Rattus norvegicus: one gene and its partner. The protein of the gene in region 2 purifies or fractionates together with the protein of the main gene of each other region. This does not show direct contact. Links are inferred from orthologs where the notes say so. Each region holds a gene or a part of one and is shown on either strand. Other genes may lie near its edges.

The links. Proteins that work in one complex are often made in the same cells at the same time.
Region 1: the proteins of Capn2 (region 2) and Afg2b purify together in Homo sapiens (co-immunoprecipitation; 3 studies listed by BioGRID and IntAct, with this or other methods). This does not show direct contact. The link is inferred for Rattus norvegicus from reciprocal best matches to the Homo sapiens genes CAPN2 and AFG2B.

Annotation. Positions count from the first base shown.
Region 1 is NC_086021.1:130,147,032-130,151,191, reverse strand, and holds the start of Afg2b (ATPase family gene 2 protein homolog B), read right to left. Parts: upstream 2,851-4,160; 5' UTR 2,795-2,850; coding exon 1,721-2,794; intron 968-1,720; coding exon 782-967; intron 1-781. UniProt on the Homo sapiens protein: ATP-dependent chaperone part of the 55LCC heterohexameric ATPase complex which is chromatin-associated and promotes replisome proteostasis to maintain replication fork progression and genome stability.
Region 2 is NC_086031.1:96,705,100-96,708,729, forward strand, and holds part of Capn2 (calpain-2 catalytic subunit), read right to left. Parts: intron 2,991-3,630; coding exon 2,872-2,990; exon of another isoform or gene 2,732-2,871; intron 2,333-2,731; coding exon 2,199-2,332; intron 1,837-2,198; exon of another isoform or gene 1,696-1,836; intron 1,223-1,695; coding exon 1,054-1,222; intron 144-1,053; coding exon 60-143; intron 1-59. UniProt on the Homo sapiens protein: Calcium-regulated non-lysosomal thiol-protease which catalyzes limited proteolysis of substrates involved in cytoskeletal remodeling and signal transduction. Proteolytically cleaves MYOC at 'Arg-226'.

The DNA of each region.
Region 1 (4,160 bases), on a different chromosome or scaffold from region 2:
TTAGAAAACTTGATTTCTCCCTTAGATATTTATCTATAATAAAAAACCCAGTATGACAATGAAGAAGTCTTACAGGTACTGGCTTATTCTAAAAATCAAAGTTAACTCTGGTGATGTTCATCATCACGAGTGACTAAAGTTCTAGCTGTTATCATGGCTGTGGGATATTCTCAAGTCTCAGAAACTCATACATATGTGTAAACTCATACACACATGTAAACTCATACACACATGTAAACTCACGCACACCAAGAAAGAATGTCCAAGTAAACACGGTAGAATATTACAAGTGGATAATCCGGGAGAAAGATATGCAAAAGATTTTAGCATTATTTTTGCACCTTCCTGTGTAAATCTAAGTGGCCGCTTAAAAGCTTTAAATTCACATCTGTCTAATTATTCTGAGGGACACTGTGTTTCCTGGCTGCTCCAGGCTCTAAAGTTACTGTGGCAGTGAGGAAAAGTCGCCATGAAGACTTTCCTGGAAGGCTCAGCCATTTATCCTCATCTTTAGTCATCTTTAGTCATTTATGTATGTGGAGTTGAGATGTTAAATATATTTGAGATTATATTTGTATTCTTACACACACACACACACACACACATAGAGAGAGAGAGAGAGAGAGAGAGAGAGAGAGAGAGAGAGAGAGAGAGAGCGAGCTGTGGAACCTACCAGCCATACCAAGGAATGAATGTACTTACCACCTTTTTTAACCCCACATTAATCTGTCATAGAAATCTGAAAGATTATCATAGCTGGTAACAGGTGAACACTTCCTACCTTTTCATTCTTGAGAAGAGCACACGTGGCAGCCTCCCTACAGAGTGCTGTCAGGTCAGCACCGACATAGCCAACTGTCATTTCTGCCAGCAGGCCTAAATCGATATGACTGGAGATGGGCATCTTTGAAGTAATCACTCCCAGAATTGCCTCTCTCTGTTTAAGTGTGGGAGTTCCAATGATCACCTACAGGCAAAGCAAAAAACCAGAGAACTTAGAAGTAAACAACTTAAAATCTTTAAAAGCATCCTCACCAATATGTACAGACACTCAGCAAACCTTTCTGGAACTTATACCGTGAACTTCTAAGCGCACCTTATTATAAATATAAGAAAATTGTCCAGTGGAACAACAGTAGCTGCGGATTTCCACAATGAAAACTCTATACTTCACTGAAGAAGTCTTTGTTGTTTTTTGAGAACACACTAAGTTCTGGCAGTCAGGGCTCAAATAACAGAGTAGATAATCTAGGTCCTTGTTCTGTGGAATCGGGGCCCTTTAATAGATGGTGCAAGGAAGAAATTCACTCAAGTCCTAAAAAGACTTAAGAGAATCCTACCACAACATTTAAATTTTATTTAATTACTAACAATTCCTTAGAAATTAGAAAGAAAAATCACTTGACCAAAGGCTCCTGAGAAAGAGCCCTGACAACTTAGGGAAGTCAACTGTAGGAGAGAAGCTGGTATCCTGACAGGAACGAATACATTTTGGGGCTAATGCCGTTTTTTTATTTACCTTCTCTTACTGTGACCATGTTCTCATCCCAAAGGCTGTTTCGGTTTAATATGCTTGCAACAGGCTTAGTTACTTCAACAAAAATGACCATCCTGCTTCCCAGAACAATTTGAACACTGGTTCTGGCTCGCATATCACAAGTGATCTATAAATCCTGCCTGACCCAAATGTCCAAAAAAGCGGAGCTTCCAAGAATTTTACCTCTCTGTCAAACCTCCCCGGCCTGCGAAGCGCTGGGTCTAACTCGTCTGGCCGGTTGGTGGCTCCCACGACCACAACCTCCCGGTCCCCGTGGATACCGTCCAGCAGCGTCAACACCTGGGCCACCACGCGGCTCTCGGGAGCTCGCTGGGGGCCGCCTCTCCGGGGACACAGGGCGTCCACCTCGTCCAGGAAGAGGAGGCTGGGCCCGCGGCTGGCCAGCTCCTGGGCGCGCTGGAAGACGCGCCGCACATTCTCCTCGGTCTCTCCGGGCCGAGTGCCCTGCAGCGCCGGGGCGCTCACCGCCAGCAGCTCGGCGCCCGCCTCTCGCGCCACGGCCCGCACTAACTGGGTCTTGCCCACTCCCGGGGGTCCCGCCAGGAGCACCCCGCGGGGCACCGCCAGCCCCAGTGCGGCTAAGGCGAGCGGATAACACAGCGGCAGGCGGAGCAGCTCCCTTAGGGAGTCGGCCGTCTCCGACAGGCCCCCAAGGGTCACCTCCCCCGGAGGCTCGACCTGTGGCGGAGGTTTGTCGCTGAGCGTGATGCGGGTGTGCGGTGTGACCCGCCCGGCGGGCTCTGGGTCCGGTGTCCCGCTCACCACGTGCAGAGCTGCTACAGGGCCCGGGATACCGGGAGGGGTGGCCACCACGTGTCCTCGCGACACCGGCCGGTTGCGCAGCAGCTCCTGCGATACCTCCAGCACCGCGTCGGAACTCGGGGCTCCCGCCTGCGGCCGCAGCACGGGCCACACCTCTAGGCGCCGCAGGGGCGGACAGGACACCGGTTGCAAGCGGTCCATACTGATCCTCCCCGCAGCTGCCGCGGCTCCGGGGCTAGCGCACTGCAAGTCTAACTGCACAAAGCCGTCCGCCCCGTCGCGCCGTGGCCAAGCTGTGCAGAGGCAGCAGCCCCCGGCGGGCAACGAGATCCTCATCGGCGAGCCCAGGCGCACGCCCAGGCTGCGGAAGGCGGCCGGTCCTAGGCGGCAGCGCTGGGTGCCCCGGTCCCGGGGATCCACAGGCAGCAGCTTCAAAAATTGTCCGTCGGGGAAGGGCCCGGAGTCCGGAGCCATGACTAGGAGAACCACACCAGGGAGAGCCCGGCAGCAATTCACCCGGCTGCCGGATGCAGGCGGCGCGCATGCGCCATGGAGGAACCAGCCATTGATTGACGGTCGAAAGGACTTCTGGGAAAGTGAGAAAAGCCTGGGTCTCGGTAAACTTAAGATGCCTGGTTGTTGGTCCCAGAGCCTCAAGGAAAGGTCTCTGCTGGCAACAGACAAAACATCCTATGGCTGCTCCATTAGGCCATAAGAGTTTTCATTTGGGGAAGTAAAACGACTTAAGGAAACAAAACCATGCTGCTAACAAGGTGTAACCTGTTTACAGGTATAATAAACAACGTGTAAATAAAATACCTGCCACGTTAATCATGATGCTCGCATCTTATGAAATATCTTTTATTCTTGTTCCAAAAAGCTTTGAGCATCTGCACATGGGAAAAAAGACATAATAAGGCATGATAACCATCTTCAATACGTAAAGGGACATATGTAAAAGTTAGCGTACTTGTGGATAGCTGTGGTATAGAACGGAAACGGAAGTTTAATGGGGTGATCTTCAGAGGTTTTTCTCTTATGCATGGTCGCATGAAAGGTACAGCCAATGGTCATAACCAGCGCCAACTGAGGCAATTAGAGCTAACTTATGCTTACAGGTTTCTGCACTGGTTTAAAACAGAGGTAGAGAGGTTAAGCTAGTAGGGATATGGTGTGGAGGAGAGTACATGTTGTTTTGTGTTGCATGGAGAGATTGATCCCTTTCAGGACCAGACTAAAATTCTCTGACCTTAGCCAAGAAATAACGACTTCCCCACTACAACAACCATTCCCCTCCTTGTGTCACAAATATCAAGAAGGGATTCTGTTCGTGGGCCCTCAACTCTCTTTCACTCATTCTCAGTAGAACTATAGATTATCTTTCCCAGGCAGCCTTAACCCATCATGCTCCTCTAAGTCAAACCATTTTCAACGCATTGCCTCAGTCATCCGTATATTTGAATTCATCATACCGACAATGACATAGTCTTGTAAGCAACCATTCTAAGCTGGCTGTTATGGGTCATACCTGTATCCCAACGTTTGGAAGCCTACGTAAAGATTATCACAATTTCCAGCTCAACCTGTGCTACATAGTAAGGTCTAGGCAAGCCTAAACAAGACTCAAAAACAAACACAAAAGTCTCAAAAAAAAAGCCGGAAGAATACCTTGAAAAGAAAAACAGCATAATAACAGTTCGGTGGTCCTTTTGTTGGTTTATAGGACTCCAAATTGGACAATTTTATGAGCACCATTTAAAGCACTAAATGCATTCACCACTAGAGGGAGGCCAGAACCAGCAAATGAAGGCTATGGGCCCTTGGAGGATAGGACATTTGC
Region 2 (3,630 bases):
GGCAGCTGCCACCCTGGAGGCCCCACCCCGGACAGCCACCAACTAGCAGGGGCCCGTACCTCCTCGGCTCCAGTGACGGAGTACGCATGTCCTTTCACCAACTTCTGGTACGTAACGGCCTCAGAATCCGCAGCGCTGGTGATCTGTAAACGCAAGGACAATAGGCGGCGGCTGCTCTAGCCCGGATACAAATGGCCCAGAAGGACGCACAAAGCACCCGGGCCCAGCCTGGGGGACTCTGAGCATCCATCCTGCCACCTGGAGGAGCAGCTTTCAGTTGCTGATCACCAAGGCGCAAGTTGGCGCATATCCCAAAGCCCCAGGAATCATCTTCTGGATGGGGAGGGTGTGCAGGGATTCACCTTCGAGACAAGGGTCTGTGGGAGGCCTAGAGACAGACACCCCATGGGGGAACTGTAGCCAAGATGCTCTAATTCCGCACCCCTACCCCGCCCAGCTCAGTTGCACAACGATGGCAGTTTTTTATTTCTACCCTCGCTTCAGAATCCGTGTATTGGGTTGCCAACTCCTTAAAAACCCTCCCTTCCCATTCTTTGGGCCCAGCTTGGGGAAGCTCCTCGCCAGGACTTGGGTCAGGCTCACTTTCCATTTCCCTGGTGAGGTTTGCCTGCAAAGCTATTTTGAAGAAACAGTTCCTTGCGGTACTCCCTGCAGTCTTAGCCAGGACCCATGAGCACTGGGACAGAGTGAGGAGAGGCTGCGGGGCTGCTCAAACAGCCCTGCAGGTGGGGGACAAGGTGCTAAAACCAGCAGAAGGGAGATGGGGGACTTTGTGTAACTTGCGCTCTTTGAGTAGAGTGATTCAGCACAGTTAGAATCCAAAGTGGGCTGGGGAGGAAGGGCAGGAATCACTGTTCCTATCTCAAATGCGCCCCCTAGAGAGCTATTGCCTAGTGATCCTGGGCTTCGGGAGCTGAGCAGTGGAATGCACCTTTGTTTTAAAGAGCCCCTCATCCCCAACCCCACCCTCACCCCACCCCTCCTCGGAGCGACAGCAGACTGAAGTGCTTGGAGAGGACCATGGAGACTTACATCGATAGAGCAGCCAAGCAGAGAACCTTTCTCCAAAGCCTTCTGGATGATCTTGAACAAATTGGGAGGAGGCTTCCTCAGCTCATACCACTCGGCAATGCCTCCTGTGAAGTCTTCAAAGCCCTCAGTGGTGGCACCCCCTGAGAGTGCTTCATAGCACCCATTGATCCTGAAGGAGGGAATTCACACTGCCACTCAGTGCCCTGGATGCTGCGGGGTGCACCTTCATCCCTGAAAATGCCACCCCACTCCAACTCAGATCCCCCCCATGGGAGCTCATGGGGTCCCCTGCTTTCATTCTCTTTGTCTTTGTCTCCAACTTGGGGTACCCAGGAAGGCAAGGCACTATCTCTGTAGTTACTTTTCCTCTGCGGCTATGACATGTTTTAGAATTTGTACCGAACCCTGGAGCTGGAAAGACTTAGTTCTGATCCAGCCTCTGGTGTTGACTCTAGCCTTGACACAGAGGTTGACACTAAAGTAATGAATCCAGCTTCCTGAGAAGCACACAGCAGGTTCCTGTGGTCATGCCCTGAGCTCTATGCTCCAAATTCTCTTGGCTAAGGACAGGGAGTCCCTACGCCCCATTTCTAGCCTGGGGCTGTAGGGATCCTAAACCCACTCACTCCGATCTTAATGCAGCGAGAGCACCAGCACCTGAGACCTCCACTTCAGAGGGCTGACATCCTGGGTGGACCTGGCACAACTTCGGGCCATCTGAGTGAGGCCCAGCTAGGATTAGAACTGGGAAACCATTCTTACCAGCCGCATGATTTATTCTGGGTGAGTTTCCACTATTTTCCTACCTTTGCAATGGGCAGATTTGCCATTGGAAGAAGGTTTTGGTCTTTTTGGTTAAGAGGCAACGGGGCCCACCAAAGAAGCAGAGTTCTTAAGGCCAGAGCAATTAGCCTCAGCATGTTCCAGTTCCCTTGCTCAAAAACAATGACCGTCCTGTACCAGTGTATCATGTGAACAACTCCCATGCCCACATTGCCTCCTTGAACTGAGAGCCCAATTTGGGCCAAAGTCATCCTTTTATAGAACAGAATGTCTACTCAAAACAGTCCCCAAAATAGCTCCTGTTTTAGAGTCCAGGGCAGCAGGGGCAAGATGGGGTGTTGGGGAAGGGCGTGGTTACTTACTTGGCATAGGCCTTCTCCAGAAGGGCACTCCAGAACTCGCTCCCCTCAGCTGAATGAACAAAGAGCAGCTCCCCGTCCTTAGTGGGCAGTCTGTCGTCCACCACCACCTCCACCCATTCGCCATATTGCCAGAACTGCAGGGCATGGGGGACAAGAGAGGGTGGCGCTGGGACTCCGAGCCTTGGCTTCATCTGGCCCAGCCCCTTGTTGTAAGTTCCCATGATTCTCTTCAGTGTCTTATGTTAAGCGTGCCCCTCACCAAGCAAGAGGCCAGTGGAGCTCAATGTAGGTCTCCAAAGCCACACACACTTTAAAAATGCCATCTCTCATTTGCTATCAGGGAAAGGAAGCCTTTTAACCTTTTATCTCAAACCTCAAATAATAAACTTAAAAACTTAGGGATTACTTCCTGAACACATTACTTCCTGTACACCATGATCTACCTCCATGGACTCTCCCCACCCCCAACTCCCAGCCATTCTGATGATGGGACTCCACATGGTGGACAGGTTGGGAAAATTTCTCTCTTCCAGCATTCTTTGCAGAACAGAACTGACCCCCAGAGTTCTCAAACCACCAGGGACCAGGAAGCTGAGGAGCAAAGTCAAGCTGGAGGAATCTGTTGAGTCCCTGAGCCAGGACGGGGAGGTGCCTTGGCCAACCATTAAGTTACCTGGAAATGGAAGATGCCTGCATAGTTTTCCTGGAAGCTCTGGTCTAGAGGCACAACTCGAGCCAGGATTTCTTCATTCAAGGTGAGGGAGGCGATGGCAGCCAGAAGCCAGCAGTCCCCTGAGAATGCAAAGCCATGAGCTCTGGTCAGGTCTTAGCTCCCGGAGGCTGTGAAGTCTTGTTCCTGCAGCTGGGTGCTTAAAACCCAACCTTACCCTGGAGTAGACGGAGCAGTGTTTCAGACAGTCTTCAACTACGGGATAGGTCACCTGGTCTGGTGGATATTTTGATGGAGAAACGCCATGTGTGGATGGCTAGATACAAGAGAGGTTCATTGTCTGAGAAACTCAGAACTCTGCGATGGCTGAACTGTGTCGTTAGAGCCTGGCCCTGTGCTCACACACAGGAACTATGCCCATCTATGGGCGAACCGAACTTAACAGGGCAACAAGAGGCCTCAGTGAAAAGAGGTTTCCGAGGGGCTGGGGATTTAGCTCAGTGGTAGAGCGCTTACCTAGGAAGCGCAAGGCCCTGGGTTCGGTCCCCAGCTCCGGAAAAAAAAAGAACCAAAAAAAAAAAAAAAAAAAAAAAGAGGTTTCCGAGAGGAGTTTGAATGAGAGGGAGAAAATGCAGCAGTCGACGAGGAGGGGCTGAACACTGCCCATCTCCTACAAGAATTCAGAGACAAGGAGAGAGATGCCTGGGCAGGGACAGGGACAGTGTGATCACGGGAGTGTGCAACAATGCATGAACTCAGACA